2 linked regions of the Arabidopsis thaliana genome follow. The protein of the gene in region 1 interacts with the protein of each later gene in a pairwise test. Each region holds a gene or a part of one and is shown on either strand. Other genes may lie near its edges.

Region 1 (5,522 bases):
GACGTCAAGGACCTGATGCTTATGAGTCTCTCTTTTGCTGTTTATGTTTATATCTCTCAACTATTGGTTTGTGCTTACTTCTCCTGGCAACATCTCAGCTTCCCCAAATCTTCATGGTAGTAGCTAAGCTAGCTCCTCCTTGTAAATTCTGCACAAATCAGTAATAAGATAAGAAATTCAATTCCGACATAGGAGAATTGAGAGTTGTGATCTTTCACTTTGGTCTTATATAATTGAATTGTTAAGCTTCTCATACCTCTTTATCTGCTTTAACTCCGGCAGAAAAGGCAAACCAACCATTGCGATAACACTATCAACCAGTTAAGGCTCTTTGTTTTAGAGCCGAAAGGAGATGCAAGAGCCTCGGGCAGAGTCGCTGAGTATGCCTTGAAAACCAAAACTTTGACCGTAATTGTTAGAAAGAAAGAGAGATTCCTAACCATTTCGTATTGGCCTCCTCCAATTTATCCTCCTTAAACAGAGAGCCCCATCCATTTTCCTTCTGTGTGCTGCACCAAACCTTTCCTCCATAGTCATATCACTGCGAGCTTTTCCCTGTACAATCCAACCTCTAAGTCAGCTATAAGCAAAGAGCTTGGGATAAAAGCTTGGTTGTGGAGTGTTCAGGTAAGGAAACAAGAATCAGCAAATGATCTTAAAGAAAAAACGTTCCTCCTTTGTTTCATCAAATCCAACAACTTCAGCGTCATCTAACAATTCCGCTATAGATGGAACATTGGGAAAAAGAAGAGTTTCCATCTCTCCTATATGCTAAATTCCCAGCAAACATGCAAGAGCGCACGTTCACCAGACTTGATGCTGGAAACACCAATAGCTAAACCGGCCATTACTTGTATCTCTGTTCATAGAGGACATTTCACTCCTTAGTTTTTAATCTTGTTTAAAGCTCTGTATACTAACATAAACATGCATGAATCAGCTTTAAAGCAACAAAAGAAAGAAAGGAAAACTCAATTTCTTTCCTCCCAAATATTCTTTTTCATTAGGTTCACATGAAACGCAAGATTTAAGACCTCAGCTTTACTATCAACTTTAGGTAGGTAAGACTACCTACCATTTTGAGAAGGCTCACAATGCAAAAATGGAACTCACCATCCTTGACTGATTCGGTTTCAGCTCCAGCAAACCAAAGTGTTTCTAATAAACTTGGCCGTGCATTGAACCACGGAGTTCCAAAATCAATGTCTGTTTAAATCATTGGCCCCAGAATTTGAACTACACACAGAGTCACAGACATTCATTACGATGGTTGAATGAAATGGTCTTGACTAAGAAGTAAGAACAACTATGCACAATTGAGAAACTATTAGCTCGATTTCCAGAAACTATCACTATCGTAATATAAAAGTCCCAGGATCGACCAAATCGGACGAGAAAGACTCAATGAAGAAACCCCATAAAAACATGGTCGAAGTCAGTATAAACAAAATCAAGAGTTTGGTCGTCGTTGTGGATTTGGAGGAGAGGAGAGTGAGCTTACAGAGTATGAGAAGCGAGAAGCTCAGGGGAAGTGTGACTCGTCGTCGTCGTCTTCGAAGTCACTCACGACCATCGAGAGATCTGATGATTTTGGTAAAATATCAAAAAAGGACTTCAACTTTTCACTTAAGTCAAAACAAGCCCCTATAAATAAATTCTGTTATTTAAGCCTTGAGGCTTGAGCTGCGTCTTTGTTGTTCACTAGGAGAGTTATTTGAGCGGATAATTTACTAAAACTGAATGTCCATCTCCCAAACAAACATTTTACGTTTTCATGTTATATAAAAGAATACTATATCGTTAGCTAGAATATTGTAGTTAAATATTAAAGTAGTGTATTTTACATTTTGTCTGAACTTTGTCATCTTTGTTTCATGAATGGTCAATGGTGAATAATGGGGAGAGAAGGAACGTGAATAAAGGGATCCACAAGTGTCTCCACCATTTTCTGAGTAAAAACAATCACATCCTTTCATTTTCAAACCCCTAAACCAAATTGTAAAGTCAGAAAAAAAGAAAAAAAGAAACACACATACAAATCGAAAAGCTTTTCTTCATCTCCCACGTTACAATAAGCCCTAAGAACGAATAAGGCAACTACAGAGAGAAAAGATGAATTCAACTACAACAAAAAACGTTTGTGGAGACAAATGGTACCTTAACCTAGACAGGCCAGAAGAGGCATTGAAGATTCTTGTATTCATTGCCATTTTCGTCGTCCGAACTCTCCTCCATTATCTCATGAAGCCTCTAGGCCAACCTTACCTCACCACCGACTTTGCTGTATGTCAAATATCTTTTTGTTCTTTGTCTATCTCTTTTGATTTCTATATTAACTCAAATTTTCTATGCATCAGATAGGGCTAATTCTAGGTAATATTCCAAGGTTTCGAGGGGCATTCTCGGGGCCTTACTCTATAACCCTCAACAACATAATAGAATTTGGAATGATCTGCCATATGTTTGTCATGGGTCTAGAGATGAATCCAAGCGTTCTTCTCAGACCACCAACCAAAGATGCATTCATTGCCTACACAAGCATGATCACGACCTTTGTTCTCGCCTTTGTCACAACTCCTTTCCTCCACTATACCAAAACTTCTCCTTACATTTTCTCCCTCGCCCTCTCCCTCATGGCCTCAAGCACCGGTTCTCCTATCCTAACCCGCGTCATCGCCAATCTCAAAATCAGAAAATCCGATCTTGGAAAACTTGCATCAGCCGCAGGTGTCCATACGGACATGATCTCTACCTTGCTTTACTGCTTCGGCTTCATTTTCTTCCCTACGGAGAAACCTCTCGCTCGTCCTCTCCACAGATTCTTCAGAGCCCTCCTCATGTTTTGCCTCTTCCTCGCTCAGGTCACTTTCACTTCCATTGTATCCCCAATCTTTCTTAATTGGGTCAACAACGAGAACCCTGAAGGTAAACCACTCAAGGGGTCACACCTTGTTATGTCCCTGGCATTTGTCGTCTTGATCTGCAGTTTCCCAACTTGGCCACCTGAATCAATGTACAACCCAATTCTCAGTGCATTCACGGCTGGTCTCTTCCTTCCAAACAAAGGAAGAATGTCGAAATGGATCATCAACAAAATCAATTACTTGCTCAGCACGGTCTTCTACCCTATCTTCTTCTTCTGGGTTGGATTCATAATCCACATGAGAAACTTTGACATTACTGACAAAATGGCGTGGGTAAGATTCTTTTCTCTTCTTGGCACTGTTATAGCCGGAAAAGTCACCGGAACAGTCTTGTGTGGTTTACTACTCGGTTATCATGTCCCGGAAACCGCATCCTTAGGACTGCTTTTGACCACTAAAGGCCATTTTCATGTCTACTTGGCAGCTTTAGCCATTCGGGTACCATCAAGCTTTCTCTTTATGTTTTGTTATTTAAGCTATCATCAAAGTAAGATCTTTACTCTCTTTCTTTTTCGTTTGATGCAAATGCAGACTAACAGGGTGAAAAGTACGACCGGTGCATTGATCATATTTATCATTGTCTTCACGGTGGTCTACTCCCCATTCGTGGTCATGGACATCATCAAACGCGCTAGAAAGCGGGTGCCTGTGCACATCATGGCGCTTCAATGGCTCGATCCAACAACTGAACTTCGGATCTTGATTGGTCTCCACGGTCCCCACAACATTGGTTCTACGCTCAACGTTATGGAGATCTGCCATGGTGGCCGTGAGCCGGGTTCCATATTCTATGCGACTGACATGGTGGAGTTGACTGATGAGATTGCAGCCACGCTGAAGAAGGGCGGAGGAGCCGGTCAGAGTAATGATTCAGTGACGGTAACGGATAGGTCGGTGACGGAAATGAGAGAGAGTATAACGGCAGCTGTGAATGGGTACGGAGAGCTCCGCAATGGACAAGGTGTGACAGTGCGGCGGATGCTGGCGTTGTCCACGTTTGTGACCATGGCCCATGACGTCTGCGGTTTGGCTGATGAACTTATGGTTTCCATTATAATTCTACCGTTCCATAAACGGCTGAATCCTGATGGTACTCTCGATGCTGGTCATGCTGGGTTCCGTCATGTGAACCGCAAGGTAATTGTTCCATCTCAGTAATACTCTGTTTCTTTCAGTTCTCAGAGAGATAATTTGGCATTTGTGTGTGCAGATTCTGAAGAACGCACCATGTTCAGTAGGAATTCTTGTGGATAGGTCGTTCGGGCAAACAGAAGAGGCATGGAGACCAGGAGCGTCCATGGGCATTGCTATAATATTCATAGGTGGCAGAGACGACCGAGAGGCACTAGCCTTCGCTGCACAAGTGGCTCGACATCCTGCTGTGAAATTAAAGGTTATACGTTTCTTGGAAGACAAGAGCTCTCAAAACGCACAAAAACGAAGCAGCATCCTGAACAGAGCGAGTGTGGTAGATCAAGAGGAGGAAATGAAGCTTGATGATGAATGTTTTGCTGAGTTCTACGAAAGATACATAGCTGGAGGTGGAAGAGTGTCTTACATGGAGAAGCATCTCACCAACTCCTCTGAGACTTTCACAGCTCTTAAATCACTAGATGGAGAGTATGGGCTGGTGATTGTAGGAAGAGGAGGGGGAAGAGCGAGCAGTGGGTTAACCACCGGCCTCAACGACTGGCAGCAATGTCCAGAGCTTGGTCCCATAGGTGACGTTCTTTCAGGATCAGATTTCTCACACAACACATCAATGTTAATTATTCAGCAGCAGCGTACTCGGGGTCAGCTAGAAGGGCTTCATGATGACTTCACTATACTGTGAATATCTGTACAAATGCACTTTACTTAGTAGCTTGGGAAGAGTAGTAGCTTCACCATCACAACTCTTAAAGAGACTTTGTACAATAGTTCAAACATTAAGCGGTTTATGTAGATAGAATGGTAAAAAGAAGAGGTAATCTAAGCATTACTTCATAGCATCCTGAAATGGTGTTGAAACATAGAGTTAAAAGAAGTTACAGGCCGATTTGTTTTTGATTTATACAAAGCATAACTAGGGAAAATTTCCCAAGCTCATTATTAGTCTTGATTGGTGCTTAGCAAAAGACAATGTAAAACGTTTTCCCCGATGTGCTGATGGAGAACTCCAAGTTCCTTAAAACTGATTCGAAAACTTGGCCACCTCTGCCTGAAAACACAGAAGGGTATACCATAAGACCAGGTACATCAAACAACATCAATAGCATTTGATATTCGTCTAGCTTATTAACCACATAATCAGATAAGTATATCCGAAGAGAGAAACTTATGTACCTCAAACTGGTTCTTCAAGTAGTCGAGCTCCTTGTCCAAGTCATTGATGGCCTGGTTGTATGCTTGCATTGGGGAAGACTGGCTTGTTGTGTGAATCTACATACAGAAACCACTTTCACAATTAAACAACAACATACAAGATCTTTCTATAAGTCCTTAAGCAACCAGTAATCCCAGAGGAAACTGTTAACACTAGAAGCTTAAACCAAGAAATATTCACGGTTTCCAAACAACCATACACTACTTTTAAGTTCCTAAACCAATCTTTTGGAT
Region 2 (4,910 bases), on another chromosome or scaffold:
GATATATGATATAATCGCATAGTTATTCAAATGGTATAGTCCAAACTTTCCTTCCAATACAGCACAACCATTTACCATGTTCACATACAAGTATACGCATCACATACTTTACGTGATGATTTAGAGATATTTAGATATTAGTCTGATTTTAAGTTCAAAGACACGATAAACCAAATAGTTATATTACATCATTGAGACTTGTAAAGATTTCATGAACTAATTCTAATCATGAGAGTAAATAGACTTTAAATTGAAAAGTACTCTAATGAGAAGAGTAAATAAACTTAAGTGAAATATTTCATATATATACTGTAACTCTAAATCCTCAGGGAATCAGGAATTTATAACTCATATTTGAGTCCTATTAAAATAAGGTGTTGGATTTTGATTATATATTTTTATTTGTTGTTATGATTGAATTTTGATTTATGCAACACAAATATATATATAAAGAGAACGACTTTGTATTGCTTAGTAAATTGTCGTGGACAAATTGGATTTTAATCAGGCGATATTAACACTTCAACTGCCGATCATCCATATCAAAACCTAAATCAAGGTATGTCCGTTCAAAACTACCACTGTTCTACATTTAGTATTTAAACCTAAACATTTTTTTTTTTTAAACCTAAACTTGTTCTTAACCAAGATGCACGTAGTATCTTGTGAATGGTTAATTAACTTAATTTAGTAGGACGTAACAAAGTTATAGGACATTACTAGAAGTCTAGAACATAGTTCTTTCGTGATCATTAAAACTTCGATCCAAATTTTTTTGACACAATGTGTATTAATTTAGATTGTTCGATTCAGATTTAGGTCTAACTTTCTTAGGTAAAAAAGCTGGAATTTGTAAATATCCCCAAGCTTCAATGAATCTAGACATTAATTCGACAGATAAGATTTGCGTAAAATACTATAGAAGATTTAGATGTATTTCATATTTTCACTTATCTAGGTTTCATAATTAACCAATCAGCGAATTGGTATAAATTAAAGTTTGGATTGCCAAATACCAAACATGTTTGTATTTATCCATCCAAATATGAAATCAAATATAATCCTATTTTTGAAAGATAAACAATTCTGTTCACAAAAAAAAATCAGAAAGAAAGATAAAAACATAGTATATGTGAGACACAGAAAAGGATCTAACACAACAAAAAGAAAATTACCAAAACGTATCAAAGATTTAGACTTAAATTAGGGCTTAAACATGGATTAAGAATAGAACCAATTATAATATAAGTTAGGAGTGAGGAAAGTCGTAATCGAATACAGCTACACACGAGCGTAGCGTGCTTGAAAGAGACACCAAATCCTGTTTTAGTGGGGAACTTTCTTACTTTCACTTTTTCCCCTCTTTTTTTTTTCCTATTTAAGAACAATTATTTGGGGTTTTTACTCTTTTTATTTTCCCTCATGTTTTTTGATTTTATCAGTCTCTTCCAGCAGCCCTCCAGGTGTAACTGGTCACACATTCGCTTGGCTTACCTTTAACCAGGTGTTTCTCCTTCTTCATAGATTTTAGGGATGCCAATTTTCAATACTACGTTTTAAGTTCCTATACCGTAATTTATGGTTTTATTCGCATATAACAGTGGCATTTCCGTTTTTTTCCCACAAAGTCAGATTCTCTTCAAATTAAAATTTTTACATAACTACTTTTCGTATTAAATAAATATTTTAGAACGAAAAAGATCATTTAGATTTATCTCTTTTAATTTTTATTCATAAAAACTAGTTAAAAAATTAAAATAGCATATGATTATTATTGAGATAACAAAATTCTGTCGAGAAAAATCCACCGAACATATATTTTAGCAGCCCGTTTCAAAACCTTTACAATTAAATTGATTAAATTAAACACCATAGAAAGAAAGAGACGTCAAAGAAAGGATCTCTTCTGAGTTCTCTGACTCAATTTCTGAGCTCTCTATAAATATAAGCTCTCTTCTTCACACTTTTAATGCAACTCTCAATATCACTATTAAATATCTTTCTCTTTTCACTTCTTCACTTTCCTCGATTCCTGAGTTTTCGATCCTTTTGTTCTCTAACCACCGGTTTCCTCTTTAACCGGTCTCTGGATAATCATCATAATCATTAGGATCATCAAGATAAGGAATCTTTTTGAGTATATCTCTACACCAAATCGAATCTATGGATCAAAAAGTTAGACAGTTTGAGGTTTGCACTCAAGACGGTAGCGTTGATCGTCACGGCAATCCAGCTATCCGAGCTAATACCGGCAAATGGCTCACTGCTATTCTCATTCTAGGTAATGATTCTCTCTCTCTTTCTCTCTATATATACCACTGTTCTTTGTCTTAAAGTGTTGTGTTTTGGATTCTAAAGAAATGGGTTTTTGGTTGATATAGTGAATCAAGGACTAGCTACGCTTGCGTTCTTCGGTGTAGGAGTGAATTTGGTTCTGTTTCTGACTCGAGTGATGGGACAAGACAATGCAGAAGCGGCTAATAATGTTAGTAAATGGACAGGAACTGTCTATATCTTCTCTTTGCTTGGTGCTTTCCTCAGTGACTCTTATTGGGGACGTTACAAGACTTGTGCTATCTTTCAAGCAAGTTTCGTTGCAGTAAGTGTCTTCAACACTGCTCTGTCTTTTTCTAGGGTTTGTTTCTTTAACAATAAGTTAACATGTTTTAATGGATTATAGGGGTTGATGATGTTATCTTTATCTACTGGTGCGTTATTGCTTGAACCAAGTGGTTGTGGAGTTGAAGATTCGCCGTGTAAGCCTCATTCGACGTTTAAGACGGTTCTGTTTTATCTGTCGGTGTATCTAATCGCGTTAGGGTATGGTGGTTATCAGCCGAACATAGCTACTTTTGGAGCTGATCAGTTTGATGCGGAGGATTCCGTTGAAGGACACTCGAAAATCGCGTTTTTCAGTTACTTTTACTTGGCTCTGAATCTTGGATCGCTCTTCTCAAATACTGTCTTGGGTTACTTTGAGGATCAAGGGGAATGGCCGCTTGGATTTTGGGCGTCTGCTGGCTCTGCTTTTGCGGGGTTAGTGCTTTTCTTGATTGGCACGCCAAAGTACCGACACTTTACGCCTAGAGAGAGTCCTTGGTCTAGATTCTGCCAAGTGTTGGTTGCTGCAACAAGAAAGGCTAAGATTGATGTGCACCATGAAGAGTTGAATCTCTATGATTCTGAGACTCAATACACTGGAGATAAGAAGATTCTTCATACCAAAGGCTTCAGGTAAGATAACCAATTAAAAGTTCTGTTATAATCTCAGAAACCATCGTCAAGATCAGTGTTAACTCTCTCTCTATTATTTTCTACAGATTCTTGGATAGAGCTGCTATTGTTACACCTGATGATGAGGCTGAGAAAGTAGAGAGCGGATCGAAATACGATCCATGGAGGCTCTGCTCGGTGACTCAAGTCGAAGAAGTGAAATGTGTATTAAGACTCTTACCAATCTGGCTCTGCACCATCCTCTACTCTGTGGTTTTCACCCAAATGGCTTCACTGTTCGTTGTGCAAGGAGCAGCGATGAAGACAAACATCAAAAACTTCCGGATTCCAGCTTCAAGCATGTCTAGTTTCGACATTCTCAGTGTCGCCTTCTTCATCTTCGCATACAGGCGGTTTCTTGATCCACTCTTTGCAAGACTTAACAAAACAGAACGCAACAAAGGTCTCACTGAGCTTCAGAGGATGGGGATTGGGCTTGTGATTGCGATAATGGCGATGATTTCCGCAGGAATCGTAGAGATACACAGACTGAAAAATAAGGAACCGGAAAGTGCTACTTCGATCTCAAGCTCCAGCACTTTGAGCATTTTTTGGCAAGTACCTCAGTACATGTTGATAGGTGCATCAGAAGTGTTCATGTACGTTGGTCAACTCGAGTTCTTCAACAGCCAAGCACCAACCGGGCTAAAGAGCTTTGCAAGCGCGCTATGTATGGCTTCAATATCTCTTGGGAACTATGTAAGCAGTTTGTTAGTTTCCATTGTCATGAAGATCTCTACAACAGATGATGTGCATGGCTGGATTCCTGAAAATCTCAACAAAGGACACTTGGAGAGATTCTACTTCCTTTTAGCTGGTCTAACCGCTGCTGATTTCGTGGTTTACTTGATTTGTGCCAAATGGTACAAGTATATTAAATCTGAAGCAAGTTTCTCTGAGTCCGTAACTGAAGAGGAGGAAGTCTGAGTCAGGAGCTAGAGAGTTTTGTGTTTTATTTTAATGCTGTGAAGCTTTTTACAGTAATTTGTTTAAAGCTGAGCTTGTTCTGTGATATAAACTGGTCTTATTGTGTTTTTATTTTTGGGTTATACTCTTGTGCAAAGTTTAGTTGATGTTTCTCAATAAAGGATAAGTTGATTCCACAGTTCCAACACATAGTTTATGTAACTTTTCTCATAACCTTTGAATCAGTCAAAACCTAAACACTTACTAGTAGAACAGTAAAAATTTACAATATTAAATCAAGCTCTTAATGTTGTAGTGAAAACAAGGACTGTTAACTATGGAAACTGCAGAAAAAGCTTTGTGGAAACTTAACAGCCTGAGAACAAGCTAAACGTTCATCCTTAGGTCTTATCTTTGTGGCCACTCGAGCTGATGCTTCAACTCAAGAGTTTCTATGATACAAAAATCGCGAACCGCCTCAAATTGTTGTTACATCAATACAAGAGAGGCAACTCTCGCTGTCTTGATCATCATTTGGCGAAGAAAGGAACTTGACAAAGAATTCGTCTTGGTAGCTGTTTTTACCAAGAGAATGGAATTAATGTAGAATGTGGTTCGTTCTTCACATGGTTTTATTTTTAAGAGTATCTTCCCGAAGATGGCATCCGTTGCAGAGACCGTTGAAAGTCCGGCTTTAATCGCTTGTTTGACATCCCACCAAATGATCTAAA

The links.
Region 2: the proteins of chx28 (region 1) and NRT1.8 interact in a protein complementation assay, tested with the Arabidopsis thaliana proteins (one large-scale study listed by BioGRID).

Annotation. Positions count from the first base shown.
Region 1 is NC_003074.8:19,312,978-19,318,499, forward strand, and holds chx28 (cation/hydrogen exchanger 28), read left to right. Parts: upstream 1-1,988; 5' UTR 1,989-2,112; coding exon 2,113-2,283; intron 2,284-2,357; coding exon 2,358-3,362; intron 3,363-3,455; coding exon 3,456-4,061; intron 4,062-4,134; coding exon 4,135-4,758; 3' UTR 4,759-5,011; downstream 5,012-5,522. Other genes in the region: AT3G52070 (RNA/RNP complex-1-interacting phosphatase), read left to right, coding at 1-120; AT3G52075 (uncharacterized protein), read right to left, coding at 270-443; NRPB11 (DNA-directed RNA polymerase, RBP11-like protein), read right to left, coding at 5,092-5,124, 5,250-5,345, 5,434-5,522. UniProt on the Arabidopsis thaliana protein: May operate as a cation/H(+) antiporter.
Region 2 is NC_003075.7:11,516,830-11,521,739, reverse strand, and holds NRT1.8 (NITRATE TRANSPORTER 1.8), read left to right. Parts: upstream 1-1,934; 5' UTR 1,935-2,163; coding exon 2,164-2,281; intron 2,282-2,381; coding exon 2,382-2,599; intron 2,600-2,680; coding exon 2,681-3,234; intron 3,235-3,320; coding exon 3,321-4,200; 3' UTR 4,201-4,387; downstream 4,388-4,910. Other genes in the region: CPL1 (C-terminal domain phosphatase-like 1), read right to left, coding at 4,818-4,905. UniProt on the Arabidopsis thaliana protein: Low-affinity nitrate transporter. Involved in nitrate removal from xylem sap. Not involved in oligopeptides transport.